Oreochromis niloticus: one gene and its partner. The protein of the gene in region 1 binds, or shares a complex with, the protein of each later gene. Links are inferred from orthologs where the notes say so. Each region holds a gene or a part of one and is shown on either strand. Other genes may lie near its edges.

Region 1 (12,534 bases):
ATGCCCCTGGTAATCAGGTGTGCCCTTCAATAAATGTCAACCTGCAAATTTTCACCCCAGCAGTTATTCATTAATGTGTTAATGTCCCCTCTGGGCAACCATACAATAGGTAAGCTAATGGCCAGGCGATACTTCTCAGTATTTTCTCCGCAGCAAAAGGAAAGCAACCACATTTTGTGGATCAGAATGCAGAGCGTGATGCTGAAAAAAATGTTTTGAAGCTAAGGGGAAGAAAAAAAGGCTGGTGGTAAAAGACAGAAGAAGGGGCATTAAGTTTCTGGAAGGTAAAAGATATAACACTTTCAATAAATTTATAAATATTTGATATTTTACCAGTATATAATTTAAAAAAATATATATATTTTAGTTTAAACAAAATAGGATTCAGGAACCTGAAATGCCTCTGCCCCCAAATGGAAGAACAATTATTTTGGATTATCTTCCCAAAAACTGCTTCATTTCACCAAAATTTGGTATATCTTCTGTTTTGAATATGTTATTGTACAGTACTTTAGTCAACAACTGTTGTTTTTAAAAGTGCTATATAAATGAATAAACTTGAAACTTGAAGTTGAAAGCAAAAGTACTGCAAGAATCACCAAATTAGTAACGTTTCATAGATTCTGTTTAATTGTGATGGTGTCACAGATGTGTAGGTATAACTTAGGAGACCTTTGAGGAACTTTAAACTAGGGATGCACCAATCCATCTTTTTCCACTTCCAACATGATGAGGAATCCTTGGCTTTAAAGGTTTTCCAATACAGAGTACCAATCTGATAACAGAGTTAATATGTCTCACTGTGAGAAAATGACTGAGAATCATCATTTTATGAGCAAAGTTTGATGAAACAACTTTAATTCTAACTTGACTAAAAAGTGAGAAATACATCAAAGGACAAATTTACTGTACTACATGTCAAAGATGAATACAACACCATTTTAAAAAAAATACATTAACATTATCTATTTAATTTGTTTGTACTAGTCTGATTTCAGCCCACAGTGAAACCAACATCCCTCTAGCTCCTAGCTTACCTGATGTCTCTGACAGAACATAATCAAAGGAAAGTAAATACGAGTACCTGAATAAAAGTAAATATGAGAGAGAAGCCAACGCATCGATCCTGTCCAAGCGCTTAGATGTTAGCTTCTTCCGTGCACAAAGAACTGCACAGGATCCAGATATCAGATTGGTGCATCCCGAATTTAAACCTGACATCTGAAAAGCAGCCTAAAAGTTAAAGTTCCAGATATTTAAAGACTTTTCTATACATTTCAGCAACACAACTGCGTTCTTACATATTGGCCAGTTTTGATTTTAGTCACAATAAACTAAAGGCCTTTGACTCAAGTTCCTCAGACATGGATTAAGTTGTAGTCTTGGACTAAATGTGTTTTTTCAATGCTTCACTGAATGATTCTCTTATTTTAGGACTAAGCTTAATTCATTTGTGGGAAACTGACTGAATATGTTTAACACTAGCTTGGGGGTGAGGGGCACGAGGGGTTAGCTGAGTGTGAGTGGGGTTAAGACGAACCGATACCCTGAAGAAGTAATATGATGTTAGATGGTCCACTGGCTGAAAGATAAGCACAGCAAAGAAAAACTTTAATGCCAGCTCAGCCAAGAATAATTAAGGTGGCTTAATTAAGGAAGAGATTTTAGGGTTTCTGCAGACAGTCGATGGTGTGATGAGTTAATATGCTTAAAATGGATAGGAATATTGCTATGATCTTAGATGAATTACTATCTCCCAAAGGTAGAAACCAAACAACAAAGCAAACACAATTGTCTCTACTGATTAAATATAGGAAACTTTGATAGGGTTTGCAAGATTAAAGAACCAAATCAAAAGACTGAGCCCCTGGTTTTTGGTACAAATTTCTGCTCCAGTTCTTTTATTCCTAGCTTTGGGATGCAGCTAATACTGGATGTTAGGACGTTTTCTAATATTACAAGGTAAAATGAAGCATTAAAATGACATATGAACAGGTCAGAGAGGATATGTTCAGAGGATTTATGGTGGGGCAGGTTTGAATATAGATAGATATGAAGATGATGGGACAGACAGAAAGAAAAAAGGAAGGAAGGAAGAAGGGAGGGAGGAAAGGAAGGGCGTATTAAGAAGAGTAATCAGCAGCAAAATCTTAGTGTCTGACTGCTCATACTGTGTTGTAACTTTCACAGACATGCTCACAGCAAGTTATTACTACAGTGGCATTTTAGCTGAGTGTTTTACACAATGAGGGTGCCTTCAGACCAACAAAATAATGCTTTGAAAATTAAATGCTGTCGAAAGACACCTCCAAACTACACATGGGAAACAGTATCGGCTTTCAGACAGTTTAACACTCTACTCTTCACTTGTTAAAATTGGCTAAGATATGACTGACCTCTTTCACTCGCTCCCTCATTATCTATTCATCATAAATACTCAAGCAACAAAGGCTCATCCCACACAAACAGACCCACTACTCTTTTTTTCCTCCCACACACACAAAGCATTGGTGTAAAACTTGAGCAAGAGTCAGTTAACATTAGTAAATGTGTCTTATATAACTGAGCCTATTGCAATAAGAAGCAGATGTAGTATCAATGTGGGCACTGAAGTTATTTTCCCCCCACGTCAGTTTAGCTTCCGCATGAGTTTACTAGTTTACTCTATTTTTATTTTACTGAATTATTATGTGTGCTGATGTTTATTCATCAGCACACTAATGGCTCATAATTCTACAGACATCCCAGTCTAAAGCCTCCTCATAATTTCTGCCTTGGAAATTTTAAAACAATCAAAAAATGATTTCTAGTTTTTTTTATATTAGTTAACTAAAATGCATTTTGTTTGTTTTTTTTTTACTTCTGATCTAGTCTTGGTTTTTAAGTGTGCTTGTAGTCAACTGTAATAGCCTTAGGGCACTTTAACCACAAAGGGGGCAATAACATGCCAGTAGGGTGTGTTTTTGATGCTTTTGGGTGTATTCTGGTATGAAACTTTAAGGCTATGGTCAAAAAAGGTCAATTTTGCTTAGTTTAATTTGTAACTGAACAAAGTGAGCAGGAAGCACCTGCATGACAGCCATAAAAAGAGCTGGTGAGATTCTGATCCTCTAAATATGAAGGAAAGGAGATCAGCATGGCCCTTGTCACCTCCTTTTAGCAGAGGATAAAGCATCCTGTATCAAAGGAAAAGAGATAATACCATGCCATAATTCATAGCAATGCACTATCCAGCAATCAATCATTATGATTGTGAAACAAAGCTGATGGGGTAAACATTAATTAAGTTGGTTTTTCTTTTAATTTCACAACCTCCTGATATGTTATCAGCCGTGTTATACCAACAAGGAAAATTACGAAACGCAGGCTGTTGTGATAAAATCTGCTTCTTAGGAAGTTTCTGCCTTGCTTCAAGGAACTCTATGCATTTTTAGCATGTTCAAATCTTTACAGTTAACTGAAGGGTTGCCATAATTCATTTTTGCATCATTTCTGTCCAATACTGCTAATTCAGCCTTAAGGTTTAACTTTAATTAATATTACTTCAGGCTCAGAAAGCTTTAATAAAGGCAGGAGTTACACTGGGTCATCTCTCCAGCAGTGTCAACTCAATGAGACACTACATTTCACTCTATAAGCCATTTATTCCTACGTATTGAACACTGAAAAGCAAATGGGGGCAAAGTATCTCAGATAAGGTTCTTGTAATTCATCTTTGGGGCATTATACTGTCACCACAGCAGACCACATCAAGTTATTAAGGAGATTTTTATAAGCGCAGCCAGATTCTCTTCTCTTTCCCCAACTCCTTATAAATTATCTTTCAGGAGAGGGCTAAAGCCCTTTTCTCAACATGATCAGGAAAATGCAGCCCTGAAATTTCTCTATACAGACCCCAATTACCTCAAGAGGCTTTACTTTTTCCAGGCTGCCATTTAACCAGATGAATAAGAAAAAATTTTAATAACTTGCCTGGTTAAATAAATGGCAGGTACAAACTGGTATTATGTGAAAGTAAGGCTTTACCCTAGCCTAGCTTAGTTTCAGCTGATATCTCTCTATTACAACACACAGCCGTTTTGGCTATGAAGTCATGCTGATGGTTTCTAAATGATCTCTTGATAGCTTTATTTAACTTAGTATTTTTTATCTCCTTTTAAGCACATAATTTTACATTAAGTGCCTTTAAACATTAACATTAACACATGAAAAGCTTATTGGACAGATGTCAAACTGCATAGCATTTATGCAGTCAAGCAAAACGCCTGCTGGATACAGCTAGGGTGCAAATGAAACCATTCGTTTATCAATGACCAGCATATATATAAAAGATTAAATTCTGGTTGTATCATAAATATTTGTTCGATAATCAGTTGAAAATAACAACCGAACAAATGTCCAATTAACCGACTTTACTCGTTACTTTCGCTTCATTTTTTTTTTTTTCCACAATTAGTTTACCCAGCTAAACTAGGTACATGCCAGCTAGGTCTGAAAAAAAAAGCATCGAGTTCAGTTGTGTATATGTCAGTGACTGGGGTGAACTAACAGGCTGCCTGCAGCCGGAGTTTGGTGTTTTAGTGCTTCGTGTTTTGGCTCTTGGTGGAGAGAGACGACGCCCGACTCCTAGCTTTATTAGCAGTGGTTAGCTTAGCTAGCAGCCGCCGCCATTATAGCAGCCAACGACGGCAGCTAGCTCCCACCACTAACGCAGGCCCAGGGATTTAAGGGGCTTGTTTGGCTGTTTTGGTTCCTTTTGTTCATGGCGCTACCTATTACAATCAACTCCCATTTTCATTAATCTAACCGGAAATCAGTTCACGTCGTAAATCCAATGGCCAGCTTTACCGCAAGCTAACGCGACAGCTAGTGGCTAGCTGTGCCCACAACCTGCTTCCAGGGATACCAAAGGGATAACGTAAGTGTCGTTTGACGCACATAAACACGCAGTTAGTAAAATAATAATAATGCCTAATCTCTAAAATGAGACCTAAAAATCTTCTAACTGCTCTTGCCGTGAGAGTAGCAATCAGTGCTAGCTAATCCCATATATCTCCCTGATGTTAATTTGGGATGTCCTTAAAAAAAAAAAAAAAAAAATCTGTTCAAAGACTTGTATGCGATCAGTGGGGGGCACAGCCTTGCGTGTGTGTGTGCGAACCTTTTTGATATTGTAAACACGGGTCAGCATCCCGATGCCTCTGTCGTTGAGGATGGTGAGTTTTTCTGCCAGTTTCTGCTGGCTGGGCTGGATCACTCCCCGAGACATCTTCTCCTCGCTGTTCGCCTAAATCTCCAAAGCAATCCAGTAAAAATTCCACAAATCTCCGCAGTCTTTGTTCGGTAAAAATAGGGAAGAAATGGAAACTGTGATTTATGTCGTTATTAGATTAAATTTCGCCCATGTTCTACCAGCTTCCTGTACTCCACCCCACCGTCTCCCTGCCTGTTTTTCTTTTTTTTCGTTCCCTGGATGAGGAGTTGTCCTGGTTTTCACAACGAGGCTGGCTAATGCTGCGTTCACGGACCCTCGTTAATTTTTTATATTAAACACTTGGTGTATACTTCCAGATGATGCTAAGATTTTTTTTATAACAGAAGTTGGCAAATTCATTTGGTACACCAGCTAAACATTAACAGCTTATAACAAAGTAGTTTAAATAAGTAGAATAGGGGTCTATCACACCAACCGTCTGTATGTTCCCTTCCCTGGACTCTTCCTTTTTTCTTCCTGTTTGGCAGCTCTATCTTCAACATCCTTTATCCATTATATCCACTGCTCCTCCTCTGTACATATCAAAACCATCTCATCCTTGCCTTTCTAACTTTGTCTCCAAACCCTTCAACCTGAGCTGTCCCTGAGATGTACTCGTTTAAAAAAACAAACAAACAAAAGATCCTGACCATCCTGGTCACACCCAATAAAAATCTTAGCATCTTCAACTCTGCCACCTCCAGCTCAACCTCCTGTCCTTTTTGTTTGTGCCATCATCTCCTAATCATACGTCATAGCAGGTTTCACTATCACTACCTCTGCCCCTTGCAGTTATTAAAAAATAAGTAGAAGAGTATATGACTCAATAAAATCAAATAGAATATGACTGGGCAAAAAACTTAATAAGATGAAAAATAGTTTGAAATCAAAATAAATACAATAAACAGGGATAAAAATATTAAGTAGAAGTATAATTTTCTAACAGTGAAACCAGGCATTTAAAAATCTAACAAATTTACTATTTTATTTTGAGCATTTGAACGCATCACACTGTGACGTAGCTTCCGATTCAGCTGTCAGTCGCAGGAGCTTTCCTTTCTCACAGATTGTTTCGTTTTTTAAATTTTTTATCTTGTATTAAAAAAATAAAGCTGTGATAATGTGAGATTCTATTGCAGCGATGGCATAAAGCCATTTTAAGGCAGCAGCGGTCTAATCTTTTGCGGAAATTTGATTGAATCCAGTCCATTTAAAACCAGGTTAGTGCAAAAGTAGAGAAACTAACGTGTGATGTGTTTACATTCAGACATCAGCTTCACTTGTTACAGACATCAGTGCCTTCCCCCTTTTAGTTTAACATTTCTTGTGGCATACACACTTTTAGCCCAGTTTGTGTAACTATACATTACCAATACTTAACAAATCAATTACAAACTTAATGCTTCAGCTAAATATACGTTTGTATGTTTCAGGCGAGTCCTGTAAACTTTGTTGTGATGCATTCACTGGCTCAGGAGATCCACGGCTTCGCGAAAGACCGACTGAAGAAACAGTGCACGCGTGTTACCACAGTGACAGGCAAAAAGCTGCTGGAGAGGAGGAGTGATGGAGGAGAGGGAGATGTGGAGCAGGTTGAAGAGCTGGAGGAGGGAAATGGGTGTGGATTTGTAGAAGATAACAGCCTGGACCTCCAAGTTGGTGTCGTCAGACCGTTCCTCCTGCTGGGTAATCGCTGTAGCACCATTCTTACAAATGCTTTTTTTTCAGTGCTAATCCCACCACATGATTGCACTATTCTAGAACCAGATCAATATATCTGTTGGGCATTATTAGCAGTTGGCCTATTGGCCTATCACACGTATATCTGCATATAGATTGCCTGATATGCACCAATATTTTCACAAAACGTAACACAGAAATCTCTCATCGCTGTCTGCTGATTACACAGAGTGTCAGCAGTTTTGCATTTTGAATATTAAAGCATGCAAATCTATTTTAGTAACCCTCAACAGAAAACAGTGAATCTGGAAATATGCATGGTTCAACAGAAATTGATCTGGGTCTAACAAGTAAAGTAGCTGCAGAAGTGTTGTAAACCTGTATTCGTTCTCATGGGTGGCAGGGGGCAAAAATAATTCAAGTTGTCTAGAAGTCTATGGAAAAACAGCCCTACTTCTCACTTTTTCTGTGAGCTCAGTAAACCCTTTCCTGATGGGTTTGTGGTCTCAATCACTAGGTTCAAGACTCATTTAATAGAGCATGATGGCCATTTTCTAAATTGTCATCCAGTTTAGTGTAAAATTAGTGATAAAACAGGGTATTTGGCTATCTTGTGATTTGTAAGTCAATATCATGTCAAGCATAATTGCTCAGTTTTCTCAGTCGAATTCACCTATTGGCTTCTGAGTCTTAAAAGAGTCTAGTCTGGGGCGCCGGTTGAGATCTCTGGAATGAGCAGGCGACCATATGCCGCATGGCTGAGAGCGGATGACCCGGGTTCGAGTCCAACCCGCGGCCCTTTGCCGCATGTCTTCCCCTCTCTCTCTCCCCCCATATACACACACACACAACAGTAAAAAAAACAAAAGTAAGATTGGGATTTTACAAGGGCATAGTGCAAATTCCATTAATAAATAATATGTACACTATAAATCAAAGAAGCACCTGCAGGATGGTATAATACAGAAATATGTGTGTGGAACTTTATGCCTGCCAGGCGTGTTCACATATCACAGAAAGAAAAGTTATTGCACAGTTTCACAGAGAAGGGTAGGAATGATTTGCTAATGCGTTCTTTAGGGCAGCGGGGTTGAATAACTCTGAGTCATGTGGCTCTGTTGTAACTGACAAGTTATTGTACGAGCATGCAGCGTCCCTCAGTTTTCACACATGAACAAACAATTTGAGGACAATAAGCGCCAGATATTTTCCACACTTCTCCTTTGTCACATCTAACACTCGGGAGAAAATAGTCCACTTCAGAAGCATATGCACTTCCAGAAGTACTCTTTGTGTAGTTTACATGGAGAAGCTGCCTGGACAGAGCATGCAGGATGCATGTCACCTACTCTCTAATGGTACATTTACTGGAATATTACCCATGCTTTTCACACAGTGATACAACTGGACAGCACACAGGCTTTTCATAGCAGGATTCAATATACAGTCAATGGTATAACATGGACACAAATAAGAAGTTGATTTGTGTTTGTATGGATCAAACTTCTTCATCAGTCGAATCTAAGAAAAGTGCTCAAACATTTTGGTGATTTTGCCCCAAAACAAGATTTTAAAAAGCTTTTTTTTTACATGGACATTTTATCTCTACCACCATCTTTACTGTTGCTGAACCTTCCCACAGATTTAAATTCAGGACTCTTATAATGTCTCTGTGCAGATCCAGTTACTGTGGCAATGACTTAACATTATTAATTCCCAATAATGGATAAATCATTGTTGTTATTTTCAATTTGTCCAAAGATAAATGTTGACTTGGCCGTATAGCTGGAGGATGCAGCTTTCCACATGTCAGTATGCATCCACCCTGAAGCGTCCTTGAGCTTGACATTGAATTCCCACCCTGCTCTGAGGTTGCTGTTCACATCTGTAACTAACGCTGTGCTTTGACCTCACTGCGAGAAACAATCAACGAGAATATTTCTCAGCAGGGATCAATAAAATATTACATCTGTCTGGCTCAACAGAGGTGCGCTTCAAACACTAAAACCTGTTTTCATTCCCCAAAGTACCTCAGTGGTCACATCAACCTGTTATCACACTGTACAGGATGACAGGGCATGTGTTAATAGTTCTCTGATATTTTTGTAACTGCCTCTCTGTTTTTTTCAGTGCTCTTGTGACAGATTTTCATTGTATATTCTGTAAATAGAGTACAGTACAGCTCTGTCAGGCTGGAGGCAAGTTCCTCTCTGAAGGCTTTGTGCAGACTCCCTCAGTTGTCTTTGGCTTGATGCCGTGATATTGCTAATATTTATAATGTGTTGCTGTCCTCTGGCTACAATCCAGTGACAGTTATTATATTTTGACATACACATAAATATCATCCAATTTAAACTAGCTCCTATATCTCCACGATATCGGTTAAAAATAGCAAACAAAAAAAACTTTTTATGATTTTATATTTCTTGCAAAGTGTCAAGTCATGGAAATGATATTCGTTCCCCCTTTTAGATGCGTTTAATATGAAGCTATAGCCAAAGAAGAGTCCTAGTATAATAGTGTGCCTGGCTCCATCCTAAAATTAAAATAAACTACCTACTAAAAGTCTTTCAAAGCGTTCCAACTTACAGGTTTGGGTGTTTTTCATTTAACCCAAATGTCTGTAGAAACTTTGTTGGGCTTCTATTTTTAAAGTGTAGAAAGGCTAACCGCATCCCCCTGTTTCCAGTCTTTATGCTAAGCTAACTAGCTGGTGCTTAATATTTTTGATCTTTCAAGCAAATACAATGTTGAACTGATTTGTGTTTGACTGAGGGTAATAAAACATATAGGAAATATCTCATATGAGCAACTTTGGAATCTTGAAACAGAACATTTTACTTTAAATAATTCAATAAATACAATTTATTATTATTAGTAGTAGTAGTAGTAGTAGTAGTACAATTAGTAGAATTAGTAGTAGTAGTATTACAGCCACTGGCTTAAACTAACATTATTTTTCTTCGACTGTGGCCTTAAACATCTTTTGAAAAGAAATGCCCAAAAAAGGTCTCCAGATAAAGGGAAGGGAATTTCTCCTACAGCATGTGTGTGAGGGATTTTTCCTGAAGACTAAAAATGACCGTGTGTAGTGTATCTGATCCATGGAGGCAAAGAAGATTGCTCCTCTTCTAGCTTTTGAGAGACAGGATGGAGATAAAAATATAAAAAATAGCAATCGATTAAGACACATTTTTACCAAATCTCATTATTTATAGAATAAAAATTGACTCTTTTTTCCCATTATTGATTCAAATGCATCTACAACAACATCTGCAGGCAAGAGCAGAGAAGTTGTTCTCTGTGTGTGTGCGGGGTATTCATTGTGATGATCTTCAGTATTTTTTCATGGTACATGTCGCTCAAAGGGAGGATTCTCCCTTACCAATTAAAAACACAGATACAATTTTCACTGATAAGCAGCAACATGTAATAATGATATACAAAAATAACTAAATGGAAATGCAGTGAAAATCAATAGAAGAAGTATCGACTTAATTTCAAGGTTTTGGGGCAAAGTCTGCCAACTAAAAAATGAAAGTGGCAAAACCTCAGTCACACAGGCCTGGAGACCAGTTGGTGACGCTCTGGCACCCTCAGTTGCTATGGGGGAAATGTACAGTGATGAAAGAAAGTATTTCTCTCCTTCCTGACTTCCTTGTTTTTTGTCATATTTGTCACACTAGAATGTTTCAGGCCATCAAACAAATTTTAATATTAGACACTGATAACCAGAGTAAATACAAAATACATTTTGTCAATGATGATTTCATTTATTGCAGTTCTGCGTTCTTTTGTGACCTCGTGGATGAGTTGTGAGCACGCTCTTGTTGTAATCTTCATAGGCCGACTTCAGTTTTCTCCTTGAAATGGCTTTGTCACTTTGGTTCTCATCTGTTCTTGAGTTTCTTTAGCCAGTGGCATGTTGTGTTGCTTTGAGTTCACAGACAACTCTCTAGGTCTGCATAAATGAGGCTTTAGCGATTGATTTTGTGGTGGTGGCCAAAAACCAGCTGCATTACACTTTTTAACCTCGCAACTGGTGGTTTTCAACTTGCCTCTAAGGCTATATGACTGGGGCCTAACTTTAATGTGTCTTCATCCCCTGTGCAGTAATTGTTACAACAGAAACAGTAACAACTAAACACTGTTTTTGAACCCTCTCATGTTGGGAAGCTCTCTCCATTAATTTGATACTCACTTTAATTTTACTTTTGGTTTCTGTGATTCTACCACTTCACCTTATCCCTTCCCTTTTAACAACAGAGCTTGTTTTCTTTTGGCGGATTGTATCCACCGTTACTTTGTTTCCACTTTCCACCATGTCAGCTACGTGGGGAAAACTACAGAAAATAAAAGTGCTTTCCTCTTCTCGGTGAGAGCCAGTCTAATTGTTGACCACATTAATATTCAGTTGGCTATTATACTGTGCAATAATAATAATTTATTATAAGTTAAAGCAAAAACATGTCTACCTCTGCTTTAATAACACCAGCACATTGAGTCTATTGATTTTCTAATAACATCTGCCACACACCACTAAAAATATGATGGACATCTGTCTACTCTTCTTTAGCATACTCGCTGAACAAGGTCCCCTGTCAGACTCTTATTTAAAAAGTGCTCTAAAAATCCTGGCATCCTTTCACAGAAGTGTCACTGTAAATCATCTTCTTCTATACTGATGAGACATATGGGCCGGAGCAGGCTTATTTCCAAACACATGCTCAGTCCTTTGGCTTTAGATGTGCATCTCAACACCATGAGTTTGGCATTACGTAAAAGTGGATTGGCTAATGCAAAGAGTGCAAATGTTGCTACTTTGAAGACAGCAAGCTGAGAATCCACCCTGGAAAGTCTGGAGGAAGTGCTTCCATCATATTCTGCTTCCTGCCCATATGTCTCCCTCACATAATTACCCAGATCCTGCTACTCAAGACTTCCACTGCTGTCTTCATGAGGAGTTATTTGACAAATGGAAAGAGATCATTGCTCTATTTTAACTGTCTCCCTGCGTGATTTCCTTTCTCAGTTGAAACTGGAGTGCTGTTGCCTTTTTCTTTTTTTTTTTTACTTTATTGCCTGCAAAACAATAAGCATGGTCAAGGACATTGAGGAGACACAAAACAAATACAAGACAAACAAGACTGAATCATTATATCTATACCTGCTTGTGTCCCACAATGTCTGAGCAGGGGGTTGCATCAGAAGGGGTGGGAAGGTGGTGGAAAAAATGCCAAAGTAATCATTCTTACCACCTCCATCACGGCTACAAGTAATGATAATAAATCAGTCGGGGTAAGTAGTGTGTTAGTCCCTGCCACTGGCAGAGAGGCAGGGACAGGGCACCGCCTGGGGCTGTAGAATGGCAAGGGCGGCAGAATATCTTTTTTTAATTAAAGATTATCTTTATTAAAATCACCCCTGTGTGGTTAACACCATATTTTCCACTTGCTGTCATTTGTGTGGAGATATTTTAATTTATTCTCTCTGATTTTGGTCCTTTTTTGAATCAACTTCAGAGCTCTGTAGGAAGAGGCTGGCCCAGGGGGTTTGCTCCCTTTCAAAACCAGACCCTGAGGAATGAGCCAGTTTAATAG
Region 2 (12,978 bases), on another chromosome or scaffold:
AATTAAGCTACGGTGGCTGCTGAGAGGGCTGCATGTCTAATCTGCTGCCGAGAAGTCATTTTGAAAATACCAGGAATAAATAAGCATGTTTTTGCACTTTTTTCTGATTTACAGCCCTGACTTCAATTTAGGAGATGAGGCTTGATGTGAGGAGTAACAGATGATGCTTTATTAGGATGCCACTGCTGTTGTCTCTTCTCTTCAGGTTTTCATTTCTTTGGTGAAGGAGCCCCGTTCTCCCGTGATAAAAGTCCGATCTTTTATATCTTGATTCTGACACAAATTAAAGTTTGCGACACAAGAACGCCTACGAGTTCTCGAATCCTCTGCTTTTAACGTAGAATGCATCCAGCTGGTCTCTAGCCACATACATAAAACATAACTACTTGAATACCAGCAAAGTAAACTCAAAAAAAATGACTGACTGTACCTCTAAAAGAGCATAAAATTCAAAACAAAATTATTTAACGATTTGCCTTGGAGTGCCATGCCTTCCAATTCAACTCTGGTATAATAACATTCTATCTTATCCCTCTCTTATCCTATGAAGAAAACGTAGGTTTGACTTTATTAAGCTTTTTTTGTTGTTGTTCTGCTGTATAAATGTGTAACTTTATTACAGAATAAAACTCTTCATGGTTCGTTATATATGTATGTTTGTTATGTGTTGCATGTTTTATTCGTTTCCCATGTTTGAGACTTTGGTCCAGCCCATGAGGCCCGAGGTGTTCCTGCGGTGCATTACCTTGTCGGATGGCCTGCAGCAGGTCACTGCGAGCGTCACTGACGGGCTCTGGCTGAGGTTTGGGAGCAGAACAGGCTGTTACCCCGCCAGAAGGTGGCAGACGAGGAGCAGAATTTTCGAAAGGTGGTGGAGGAGGACCGGGGGGAGGCGGTGGAGGAGGTGGTGGTGGTGGACCCCCGCCTGCAGGCATAGGTGGTGGAGGAGTGATGGCGGACATAGATGGGGGAGGAGGGGGAGCAGGAGGAGCGGAAGAGGAGAAGAGCGGAGGGGGAGAAGGTGGGGTGTCAAAGCCAGAGGGAGGTGGGGGAATCCCAAAACCAGAAGGTGGAGGAGGGGGAGGAGGTGCAGGGGGAGGAGAGAGACTTGGGCGGGAGTTGTTTGGGGAAGAAGCAGTGGGGGGAGCTGGAGGAGGGTGGCTTGGACTCAGCATGCTGACACGCTTCTGGGTGGGTGCTCCATCGTTACCATACCTGTAAGTGATGAAGAGGAAGTTGGAGGTATAAAGGATAATATAAACGGCATAATGGAGCCTTCACTTCCCTCCATTAACCTGCAATTTGTGTGCAGCTGCTTCCAGAGCAGCTCCTATTCATTAAAGAATCACAAAGTCAAAGACTATAATCCATTTAGCTTCAGCTCAGAAGGCGCGTATAGGATTGGCTGTACTTTCATATGGCTGTACTTTCACTACATGTTTGCAGGGGTGGTGGTGTGCTATGAGCATGTGTGGGCTGGTATGTATGATGTTACAGTACTTACGCCATGTCCGGAGGTGGAGGAGGCAATTCATCGGGACCGGGAGGAGGAGGAGGCGAGCTAGGATCATAAGCATAGGAGTTTGTGCTAAGCTCAAGGCTTTCAGAGTTGAAGCCCTCCCCAGATCCAATACTGCCATTCAGGCCCTCAGAAGAATTCCTTATAAGAAATGAGACATCGCTGTGAGTCCAAAAATAAACCAGACCACAAGTACAAATAACAAATAATAAGAAACACGGACGTGATTAGCATTTGGTGCTCAGGCAGCATCTGTTTATGCACATTTATAACAATTTCAGAGACGTGCCAAACGCATTTTAAAGCAGCAGAAACAGATCATTACACAAAGTGTTGAGAGAGAATAGCTTGTTCTTCATCTATACAGCTTGTCAGGAAATCGGACTGTTTTTTCTCCTTATCAGGCCTGCTGTGAGGCCGATGAAACACTGCAGGAGCTGAATCAGCAAAACTTCCCATTTTGGTAAAAAGAATATAATCCAAAACAAGGAATTTAGGACTCTTTGATGTTATTGAGTTATAATGAGTACTATTAACTAATTTGTGCACATATATTTGTTGTATTCATTCTATTAATTATGACATATATTAAAATAAAAAACAAACATATATACATATGCAAACACACACACACACACACACACACACACGTATAAAAGTATGCAACAATATTAGTCCCATCAAGAACAGGGCCCAGTGTGACTCACACATTTGTTTACTGCAATTTTCCAATGACGGCCAGCTCTACACCCAACCCCCCGAGAACATTTTCTGACAGGACATACCACCCAAACCACTGTGTACAGATCCGGTGATAAGGGGGGAAAGAATGAGCAAAATAATGTCTGATCGGTTTTTTTACTTTGTAAAGAGAAAAAAATAACTTTTTATTTTATTAATTAAATTATTTATAAGATATGCTTGAAATCCACATTAAAGCCTACTGGGTATGTCAGGGCTCAGAGCCACTGCAGCCTTGTGGATGACGCTGGATGAAAATGATTGACGTTTTGTGATGGACTATTGTGAAGATATTATTTTACTATAATTAGACTTTGATGGTTTTTGTTCTTTTGATTCCCGGTCACTGTTAATGACTGATAAACAAAAAGGAGGCATCTCAGAAAACTTACATCAAGTCAGACTTTGGTACAACAAACTCCTCTCCCATCTTACGCCGTTCCCATTCGTCCTTTCTGGTCTTGATCTTTCGAGGATTGAGGGTCCGCTGGTTCAGATGGTCTTTCTTCTCCTTCTGCTCATTAAGGAGACGGTTTAAAAAGTGCAAGATTAGCACTGGATTCGAACAATTTCATGTGATGTGACTAATTGTAGATTGCTTTTACTTATGTAATGACTCATGTCTTTGTGCGTATGAGGGTGTTTATGAGTCTCACTCTGTGCTTGCGTTTCTCCTTCATGATGTCCTTGGTGTCCTGCAGCATCTTCTCCTTCCACAGGTCAAAGAAGTAGGAGGGGTCGGTGTAAAACTTTAGGGCCTCCTTCCCATCGTCTCTGTAGACAACAATTTACAGACATTAATAATTATTTCTAGTTATCATTTGCACAATGTGCTATCTTACAAGTATGAACAAAAAAAAATAAATACAGTGTTAGTTAAAAGATGGTTATCTGCCATGTGTGATAGTCTTAAGATGCCAGTAAACTTCCCCTTTTAAAAGAAAACTTCACTAAAAATACACTAATGTCTTTAGTCACATCCACATCACACTGCGCGGATAAATCATTGTCCCCAAAGAATGATCCAAGTCAAATTATTACCACATTTACATTCAAACCAGGCACCGCTCTACACATCACATTTAACATTGCTGGGGTAATTACGCAGAGATCATCCTCTCACTCTCATCTGCCTTCTGATTATTCACACTTCAGATGACACATCTTGCCTTGTAAATGATCTACACTCACAGATATCTTAGCTTGTGACTAAAGACGCTTTACATGCATCCATCCGTCCCTTTTTCTTCCACTTATCTAGGCTGGAGCCTATCCCAACTACTACACAGCAAAAGGCAGTGTACACCCTGGACAGGTTGCCAATCAGGGCTCCCACAGAGAGACAACGATTCACAGTCACATTCACACCCACAGTTGATTCATAATCAACAATTCACATAAAATGCATGTCTTTGGACTGTGGGAGGAAGCTGGAGCAGCTGGAGAGAACCCAGGCAATGGTGCTAACCACGACACCACCATACTGCCCTCTGGGGCTATTTCCCACAGAGTATCTTCCCACAATCAATTGATTGGTGGGTTATTTAACAGCAAAACCAACAAGTGTGGCTTGTCAAACAGCTGTAAGTATTAAAACCCCCAAACTGCCTGGACTTAAACAGGTTACACACTAAAAACAAAACAACAGGGAAGACGATGGCGTCGACACCATAATTCTCCAGGATTTTGCAAAGGCGTACTATGCGTTTTCTAGTGTAAAACTGCCAGTTGTGTTGGACTGAGCCTCCTTAAATCAAACCTAATACTGCCTAGACACCTCCGAGACCCACTCCTTGATAAGAAGCACATGTAACAGGGGTAAGCTTAAATAATGCACAGTCATTACAAGAATCTCCCATGCATGTGTGTTTCCATATGGGCACATGCGCTTGCACGTGTTCTTGTTATTAACTGCTGGAGCTGCTGCAGTGGATAAATATGAGCTTGGTCTGTGCAGCATCTTACCGGTATACGCTGAGCTGGTTGAGCGGTGGAGGAGGATCGCAGGTCGTGTAAGTGTCTTGTACAGGCATTGGCAGAGACGGCCTGGTGAAGAGCTGCTGGTCCTGGGTCAGACTGCTTTTGAAAGCCTTCTTTGCAGTGATTCCCTGCAAAGTAACTGAGAGAAACAGACCGGCAATGTTTTAAACATGTATTGTGTTCATTAGATTCTCTGCAAAGGAGGTTTCAAACCAATACTCTACACTGATACCAGCATAAGCAGTAACGTTAACAGTAAAATGTGCAAGTACATACCCTCCTCTTCTTTGGGGTCCAGCTGGGTGACTTTAACCTGCAGGCGATCCACTCTTTCTCCAAGCGAGCTCACCCTGCCGGCAAATTCTCCAGCCTGAACAAACAGCTCCCCGAACACGTCCTCTGCATATTTGCCTGCACGCGTGCACACACACACACAAGTTTCTCACTTGCACCAATTAAAGGATTTATCTCACGCATACATAGCCAATGAAAATTCATATCTACATAAAAATGCATTAACCTTTGTTTAAAAACAATAAACATCCATGTAATACATATTCATCACTGCTCATTAACCATTCATACACACACTGACACCCGAGCATAACAGAAGCTTACTGAGGCTGCCGAGCTGGCGGATGATGTTGGCCAGGCTTATGTTGGTGACACATTCCAGCTCACTGCGGATGTTAGAAGGAATGGGATGGCGACAAATATGCCGCGGCTCTATATTCCTCGTCACCAGAGGCATGGTGGGGTGTGCTGGGGGTAGGGCAGCCCAACCCTGATGGAAAAGGAGAGGTAGGTCAGGGGAGTGAAAAACATATAAATGTAATCAAATTAATATTAAATTTTACTATATTTTCGCACCCAATGAGCACCTATTTTCATTATGACACGACTGTGAACTGGTCCTAACAATTCGCAGACTAATCAAATTGAGGTAAAAAACAAAAAACATGTTCCTTCCATTCCTAAATAAGTCACATGAGACAGACGCCTACAAAAATACACTGACCCAGACAGAGCTAAAGCAGAAGCAAAACTATGCCTTCGCTCCACCCATCGAACATGCACCACCCACCCGGTTTAGAGTGGACAAATCTAATATGTCCAAAATAGCAAAGAGCAGAACTAGGTGGATTTGTGACTTCCCCACTGCTTACAGCAGTGGAAACACATCACGTTATTTTAAACAGATTACAGTCAGGGCAGCGGTGTGAGCTCACGCAGTGCAGTAGGTCCACAGTGTCCAGACTGAATAAGATAAGCAAACGACAGTTCCGATTAAGGGGTCAGAGATTTGCAGTGACTGCAGACTCTCCCTGCTTTCAACACAGTGCGGCCTTGATTTTGGTTTAGTCTCTAAGTACAGCCTGTTGTGACTGCTGTTGCCCATTGCAGCTGCCTAATTACAAGTTTTTTCCTGTTGGTGGTGAATCATGGCATAAATGTTACTGTGTGTAGAAAAGGAAAGAAAAAGAAAGCGGGAAAAAATGGAGGGTCGCTACCTTCGTACCTCGGGATGTGTATATTACCAAGCTACCTGGAGGATTTAGTGATTAATCGTGAATGAAGGAATGCGTCCATTTCAGGCTTAGAGGCTTGTTCGTCACTGACAGGTCGCCCACTCTGCCTTTGACAAAGTGCTATTAGCCAGCTTTACTGCACTTTTTTCCCCAACTTTACACCGAGCTCCTAACTTTCTCTGACGTGAGTAAATACGTGGTAAAAAAGACGGGTTACACTTTTTTTGCGTCCCCAACTTCACTTAAATGGATTAAATGTAATTTGGGATGTCGGCCTTGTCAGAGCAGGAAGTAACTTCTAGGCGCCTCTTATATCGAAGGAAAAGCCAAACAAACATACATTTACGCCACTCGCTTAAACAAAACAACACTCAACAAAGACATTTCACTTACCGTCAAACCTGGTAACCGTAGGCGTCTCTTTATACAGCCCTACAGTTGTTATTGTCTCAAGATTTTTCTTAAGAAATGTTGTTCGGTACTCTATGCGAGACCGAGCTAAACAGATCGCCCAAGTCCCGAGGTTGCAAACTTCTGATTGGTCGAGCGGCGGAGTTCTTCGAAGCTGATTGGCTGTTGGGCCTGTCGCCTGCTATAACCGAGAACAGGATGTGGAAGTTGCAACGTAAAAAGCGCAACTCCACCCAAACTAGCGGCAAACATCTGTCCGCAATTTACGTAAGAGAGGGTGGAGGCAGCGCCACATTCCAACGTGCGCTCAAGCGAGTTGGAACGCGTCCGAGGAATGACTGGCATTAGGAATGACTGGATAAAATGTGCTGTGGAGAAAAGCTCCTACCGACAAGCAGGTTGTCCAGTAAGCCTCGGTGAGTGTTAAGTGCCTGCTTAACCTCAGCTCAGCCCGAGCAAACTGCAGAGCTTCAAGTTAGCGTGCATCCAGTGAAGACTCAATCACATAGAAGTTGGCGTCAACTCTGTGAATATGTGGTGAATACATTTGAGACGGGTGTGGTTATTTTCATGTTGCAATGGGCTTTATCTTGTGCCCACATTTGTTTTGGCATATAAAGTTAACACTGTTACACCCAGCTGCTTTTGTTTTCCTTCATAGATCAAGTGTCCATACAATGTGGTTGGAGGAAATAGACTATCAAAGTAATTTAATTGTTGAACGCTTGTAGACTTCTTTTTTCTTTTTACTTTTTTGTGCTGTTTCCCACTATCAAGTCCATGTAAATACAGTACGTAGGTTGATGTGTGCTTCTCTCAAATTATTAAACACAACCTTTAGAATACACTCATAAAGACATTAAACCTTGTCATTTGTAAACAACCACAGATTCCAAGATCATCAGTACAAACAACTATATGTGAGTACAAGTTATTGAGATGTGTCACCACTTTGCCAAGGCCTAGAAGAAGCCCCGAACTGTCACCCTCAGTGACAGGAAACTGGTTAGGATGTTCAGGAATAATCCAAGAACCACCAAGGCTCAAGCCTACTGCGAACTGGAAACTGCAGAAACACCAGTGTCACTGTCCACAGTGAAGCATCACCATGGACTGAGAAGGTGCTTACCAAGAAGGAAGCCCCTGCTCCAAAATCAACATCTTCAAGCTCAACTTAAATTTGCCCACATGGACAAACCAAATACCTTCAGAAGAAAGATTTGATGGTTGAGATGGTCAATGGACAAGATAAAGCTTAAGCTATTCTCTAAAGTTGTAAAGAGTAAAGTTGAGGCTCTCAAACCAAACAACACGGTCCAGCGGTTAAGGATGATGGTGGCAGCGTCATGCTTCGGGCTGTTTCAAATTCTTCAACTTCACCTCAAATCAACAGCTAAACGGTTGAAACGTGGACACAATTGGATGTCTTAACAGGAAAAATCATATCAAGCACATAACAGTTTTTCGAATGGATAAAGCTATAATAAATATAGGAAAATATGGATAAATATAGAAAAAAACAAGAGATAATTATTTTTTTATTCAATTCAGTTTTATTTATATAGTGCAACATTGAAACAATAGTTGCCTCAAGGTGTTTATCTTCCACAGGACACAAATTATAGGTGCTCTGACACACCTGACCCATTGCATTACAACCAGTCACTAACAGAGTAACCCTTATTTGGAATTTAATGTGGTGGGAATTTAGGTTTTAAACTCCAACTTGATTGCTTTCCTCTAACACATTTTCACAGTATACACACTCATTTTACTATAAAATCTAAGCTCTTCTTTGATGTAAAATTTTATTGCACATATAAGTAATTAAAGCTTACAGTGATGTACTCAAAGAAGTTAACCTGTTGGATCAGACTCAGGTCAAAGGGTTGCATTCTGGGATTCATTGGTAAAAAAACAAACAAACCCACAGCGTTATGGTACAACTGTTAAATAAAGAATAGCCTGTCAGACAGCTGTTTTGCGTTCAGAAATAGTTGGAACATACATACATCCTTTGTGACACAGCAAAATCTGAGTTGAAAATAGTTGTTATTATTTGGCCTGTAACTTGGTTAAAACAGCAAGCCCTTCTTCTGCTCAATATTTGGATACAATAAAATGCTGTTTTAAATATAAATACAGTTTCTGTTTCAGAGTTGGTTTTACCCTTTAACTGCAGATTTCTTCATGTCCACTAGAGGGAGTTGTCACGTGAAGAACTGTGTATGCCTGAAATCCCAGGAAAAACAGGAAACTTCACTAGCTGCTTCCCCCTCTTTGGATAATGTGTGCGCAGCTTCATCCATCAGTGTGTGAGTCTCAGTGTCGTGTGTTTACCCAGCTGAGTGTGTAGGAACTGTGAGCATTTGCTACTGTCTGTTTTAGGACACTGTGACCCTCTCCTGCAGAGCTGTGAACCAGCTTGAGTCCACAAGCTTGAAGACCTTGAAGGACACTGAACCAATAGCGGAGCACTTCCTCATCCCTACCGGCCACCTCAAACCCTGCCCACTGCAGGTGCACCTTGGCAACAAGATGGTGGACATTCTGTAGAGTTCCTGCCTCGATCCAATTCTGAAAAACGCGCCACTCGCCGCTTAGCAGGTCAGCATACAGGAAGTGAACCTAAGGAGAAGAAAGAACAGAGGAAAGTACGGCTCTGGTCTAGCACCTCCCCACCCTCCCAAGCACATACATAGGAAGCCTAAGTTAGCAAAACACCAGATACAGAACAAAGCAGGCTTTTAGCAACAACAGAAAAGACACTGATTAAGTCAGGAACAGAATTTCCAGTCAGCATGCTAAAGCACTGTAAAAAAAACATATTAGATTTGCATATCAGCTGATGTGAATTGGGATGGTACTGAGATCAGCTCAGCTTTACTAAGAACAATTCCCAATACTGTTTATATGTTTAATGGTAGTTTATTAGGATATATTCATGCTATGAGGGTGGCTGTGGCTCAGGAGATAGAACAGGTCGTCTGCCAATCCCTGCATCCCCTAGTCTGCATGTCGAACTGAACCTGGAGTTTCGCCCAATGCATCCGTTGGAGTGTGAACGTATATGTGAATGGGTGACTAGGCTTGTAATGAGAAAGTGTTCTGAATGCTCAAAGTATCAGTTCATTTACCATTTTACTGCTTTCCATAGTGGACCTGTTGCTTATTAATCATACATATGATTATATATAATCAAATATTGAAGATCAAATTATTAGAATTATTAGCTGCAGTTCTCGGAGAAATCGATTGCAGCTCACTGGCAACTGTTGAAAAAACATCCTTACAAGCTAAAAAGTCACAAAATAGAACAATACTTAAAATGTTGAGTCTGTTGCCCTCCCCCTTTAGCATGCAGCAGTAATTAGTACTCTTTTTTTTGTACTGTTATAACCTCTAGTGCCACAATTACATGGCGCTTGGCGATCTTGTTTGTGACCTTACAGTCAATTAATGTTTCATATGCCCCAGCTTACAGTGCTTTCACACAGTGTTTTCCCCCTTCCTTCAAGAACTGCAATGACGTGTTTGCAGTAACTGACAATGAGTCTTTTCCATCACTGTAAAGGAATTTTAGCCCACTCTTCTTTGAAGAACAGTTTTAATTCAGTCACATTGGAGGGGTTTGTAGTTCTTAAGATGCTGTTCTTGGTTCTTTTGTGACCTCCTGGATGAGTCGTTGATGCGCTCTTGGGGTAATTTTGGTAGACCGGCCGATCCTGGAAAGGTTCACCATTGTTCCAAGTTTTCTCCATTTGTGAATAATGACTCTCATCCTGGTTCACTGGAGGCCCAAAACCTTAGAAACGGCTTTGTAACCTTTTCCAGACTGATATGCGTCAGTGATTTTGTTTCTCAGTTGTTTCCTTAGATTGTGAAGTGAACATGACGTGTTCGCTTCACTTTGTTAGACAGGTTGTATTTAAGTGATTTCTTGATTCAACAGGTCTGACAGTAATCAGAACTGAGTGTGGCGAGTAAAATTGAACTCAGCTTTCACAAAAAATCTGGTTAATCACAGTAGATTTAATTAACAGCACTGTCGGTCATAAATGTTGGAACAACTGAGCCACACAGGTTTAAAAGCTGGCAATGGCAGCCACTTGTGTAGTCTACGTCATGGGCTCTACATACTTGAACCAAATTTGGATCAAACTGGAGGCAATCAGACACTGAAGCAGCCAAAATTGATTTGCTTGTCCAATCAGGGGGAAACAATACATGAAATCTCTAATTAAGCACATGAACAGTGTTCTGAGTTGTCCAAACATCTTGTGCACCAGGTTTGGTTATTTTTGGATGAAATCTGAATAACAGAAAGTCAAATGTGTTAACAAATGCAACAAATGTGCACGGTCTGTATCAATCTCCTCTGCATCATCCACTGAATCCATACAGCTGTGTTAGAATTTTCCTTGTCCATCTAACAGTGAGAAAGTTTAGCCCCCCCCAAAAAAAAATTTAACCCACTCATTTGATCATTTATCCACCTATGGTGGCGCTATTGCTTACATGAAGCATATGACAGCATATGAAGCTATTGTATATTTTAACTCCATGCTGTGGCACTAATTATTTATAGATGAACATACTGGACTGCTTGCAATTCTGTCACACCGCACATAATCAAACTCCAGGTATGCAGTTCCCTCTTGTGGCTGCAGGAAGCAATTGGGTGATTCATTCACTTAAACTGTTGCCATGGTAGCCAGAGATGGCGCAGAGCCCTGTTGCTATGGGAACATCTGAGTAAAAGAGCTTTCGGGGTATGTTGGGGTGAAAAGACTCTAAGGTATGTTTGTTTGGCACTGTTTGTCTACATTTCGGTGTGTGTGCATGCGTGCGTGTCTTACTGTGTGATGTCCCAGAGCTGCCATGATGTCTGCCAGTGTCTGAGAAACACCACCCGGGTTTCCTCTCCTCTTGTGCGCGCGCTTCTTTGGAGCTCGCCACTCAAGCCACATCTTGTGCTGGCTGACCACGCCTCCATCGCCATGGTTACTAGCCAAACTGTTGCCAAGGTGACCACCAGATGCATTAGAGTTGCTGGGATCAAAACAGTGTATTTCACATCCCAGCCCCGACACAGTCTTCAGAAAGTCTGCATCTCCCCCATCCATGCTAGAGAGACAAAGACAGGAAGGAAGGCAGGAGAGCGCAAAGGCCGTTTGAACATTATTGCATGCATGATTAAATATGCATTGCATTGTTTATTCCAACTGAACCGGTGATAAGAATGCATAGCAGCACGTGCACTGACATAAGGCTCAGACAAGTGGCACACCTGAAGGAATATGCGACACACGTTTTGTGTGTAGCTGGAAGGAGCCAGTCCTCAGCACACAGCAGCCAATGGGCTGGCGCTGCAGGGCTTTGTGCTGGCTGAGCCCGCCCTGGAGATAAAACCTTGGAGCAGTTCATCTGGGGACAGACAAGAGGAAAGAGTCACATAAGACTGGCTGGATGGAGGTCTGGAAACAGCGCGACACAGAATTAGCATTCAAATGAGAAGAGGGGAAGCTAAAGAAGGAGAAGTTGTTCAGAAAAGTGGCCAGAATTGTGTAATTTGTGAGAACATTGCAGAGTCATGGCTCGAAATATCTTTGAATAAACCAGAATTGTTTAACGATAAACTCATAATTTGATGGCGGCTGTTTAAAAAGGCCACACGTGAGATGCTTTAATTTGTTGCATTGAATAATTAACGGGGACTGTTTCTGCTTTTTTCTTATTTTCTGTCACATACGCTGCTCCTACTTTGTGCTCACATTAAGCACGGTGAAAGTTTCAAGTCATGCAGTCAGAGAAAGTTAAAGGTTTCAAACAGCTCTGTTGAAATGTCACCGACTGGCTATCCTTATACGGTCATCTCAAACAAGGAGCTCTGTCTGTGAGCACTGATGCCCCACCCACCTGCAATTCAAAACATTTTGTTTGTGAGGGGCAGCCAATCACAAGAAAGCTGGCTCTAAAGTGAGACACAGAAGGTGAACTAACATGCTTCCCTGAGGTCTAGTATGAAATAAATAAGAATTCATTTAAGTCTGAGAATAAAAACATGGAGCATTATCAAGCCCCTTTAAATAATACCAAACTAAACCAGCACACAGTTTTTTTTAATTCTTACATATATAACTTTCCTTCCCACTTCTCCAGCACTTGGTGTTGCGTAAGTTTTTACTCTTGTTTGGGAGTTTCCTGTCTGGAACAAAAAGTCCTTACTGGCTCCAGATTTGGTAGATTTCTGCTGCCAGCATATTGACAGTGCCTGACTGATCATATTACTGCTATGTTAACCCCCACACTCGACTGCAGTCAAAGAAGTGTAGTAGTCAAAAAAAATGAAGTTGTTTTTTTTTATTGATTTCTGTTAAGGCTTGGCAAGGTCTAACTCCTGGCTACAAAAATTTGAAGCCCCCACTGAGCTGGAGAGCAGCCTTCGGGGAGTGCGTTATTTATTGGACCAGTGGTTTCCATCCTAAGGGCTGGGACCTCTCCAAGGGGTCAGAAGATAAATCTGGCGGGGGGGGGGGGTCATGAGACCAGATTTTTAAACAGACAGGAAAGATAAGAAAACCGTCTGCAAATAAAAACCTGATTTTTCTTCCGTGACTTTCCTCGTGAAATATAGCAAGCACTTTTTAAAGGGTCACAAGCCAAAAGTTTGTGCATTCGACTATATAATATGTGTATTACTGCACATACAAGTCCTTTATAACTTCAAGTTGTATTCATCCTGTTATTTCTCATTGCTTATCTGTAATCTTGTGAAGTGTGTTATGCTGTAGGCTT

Evidence for each region.
Region 2: nckap1 (region 1) and wasf2 share a complex: the UniProt entries of both Homo sapiens proteins name them as parts of the WAVE2 complex. The link is inferred for Oreochromis niloticus from reciprocal best matches to the Homo sapiens genes NCKAP1 and WASF2.

What each region holds. Positions count from the first base shown.
Region 1 is NC_031978.2:5,315,894-5,328,427, forward strand, and holds the start of nckap1 (nck-associated protein 1), read right to left. Parts: upstream 5,506-12,534; 5' UTR 5,270-5,505; coding exon 5,162-5,269; intron 4,919-5,161; exon of another isoform or gene 4,446-4,918; intron 1-4,445. Other genes in the region: dual specificity protein phosphatase 19, read left to right, coding at 6,712-6,940. UniProt on the Homo sapiens protein: Part of the WAVE complex that regulates lamellipodia formation. The WAVE complex regulates actin filament reorganization via its interaction with the Arp2/3 complex. Actin remodeling activity is regulated by RAC1.
Region 2 is NC_031985.2:22,539,474-22,552,451, reverse strand, and holds the start of wasf2 (actin-binding protein WASF2), read right to left. Parts: upstream 6,309-12,978; 5' UTR 6,163-6,308; intron 5,025-6,162; 5' UTR 4,992-5,024; coding exon 4,859-4,991; intron 4,652-4,858; coding exon 4,517-4,651; intron 4,380-4,516; coding exon 4,226-4,379; intron 3,035-4,225; coding exon 2,917-3,034; intron 2,775-2,916; coding exon 2,653-2,774; intron 1,661-2,652; coding exon 1,505-1,660; intron 1,216-1,504; coding exon 746-1,215; intron 1-745. Other genes in the region: methyltransferase-like protein 24, read right to left, coding at 8,503-8,808, 11,040-11,307, 11,471-11,607. UniProt on the Homo sapiens protein: Downstream effector molecule involved in the transmission of signals from tyrosine kinase receptors and small GTPases to the actin cytoskeleton. Promotes formation of actin filaments. Part of the WAVE complex that regulates lamellipodia formation.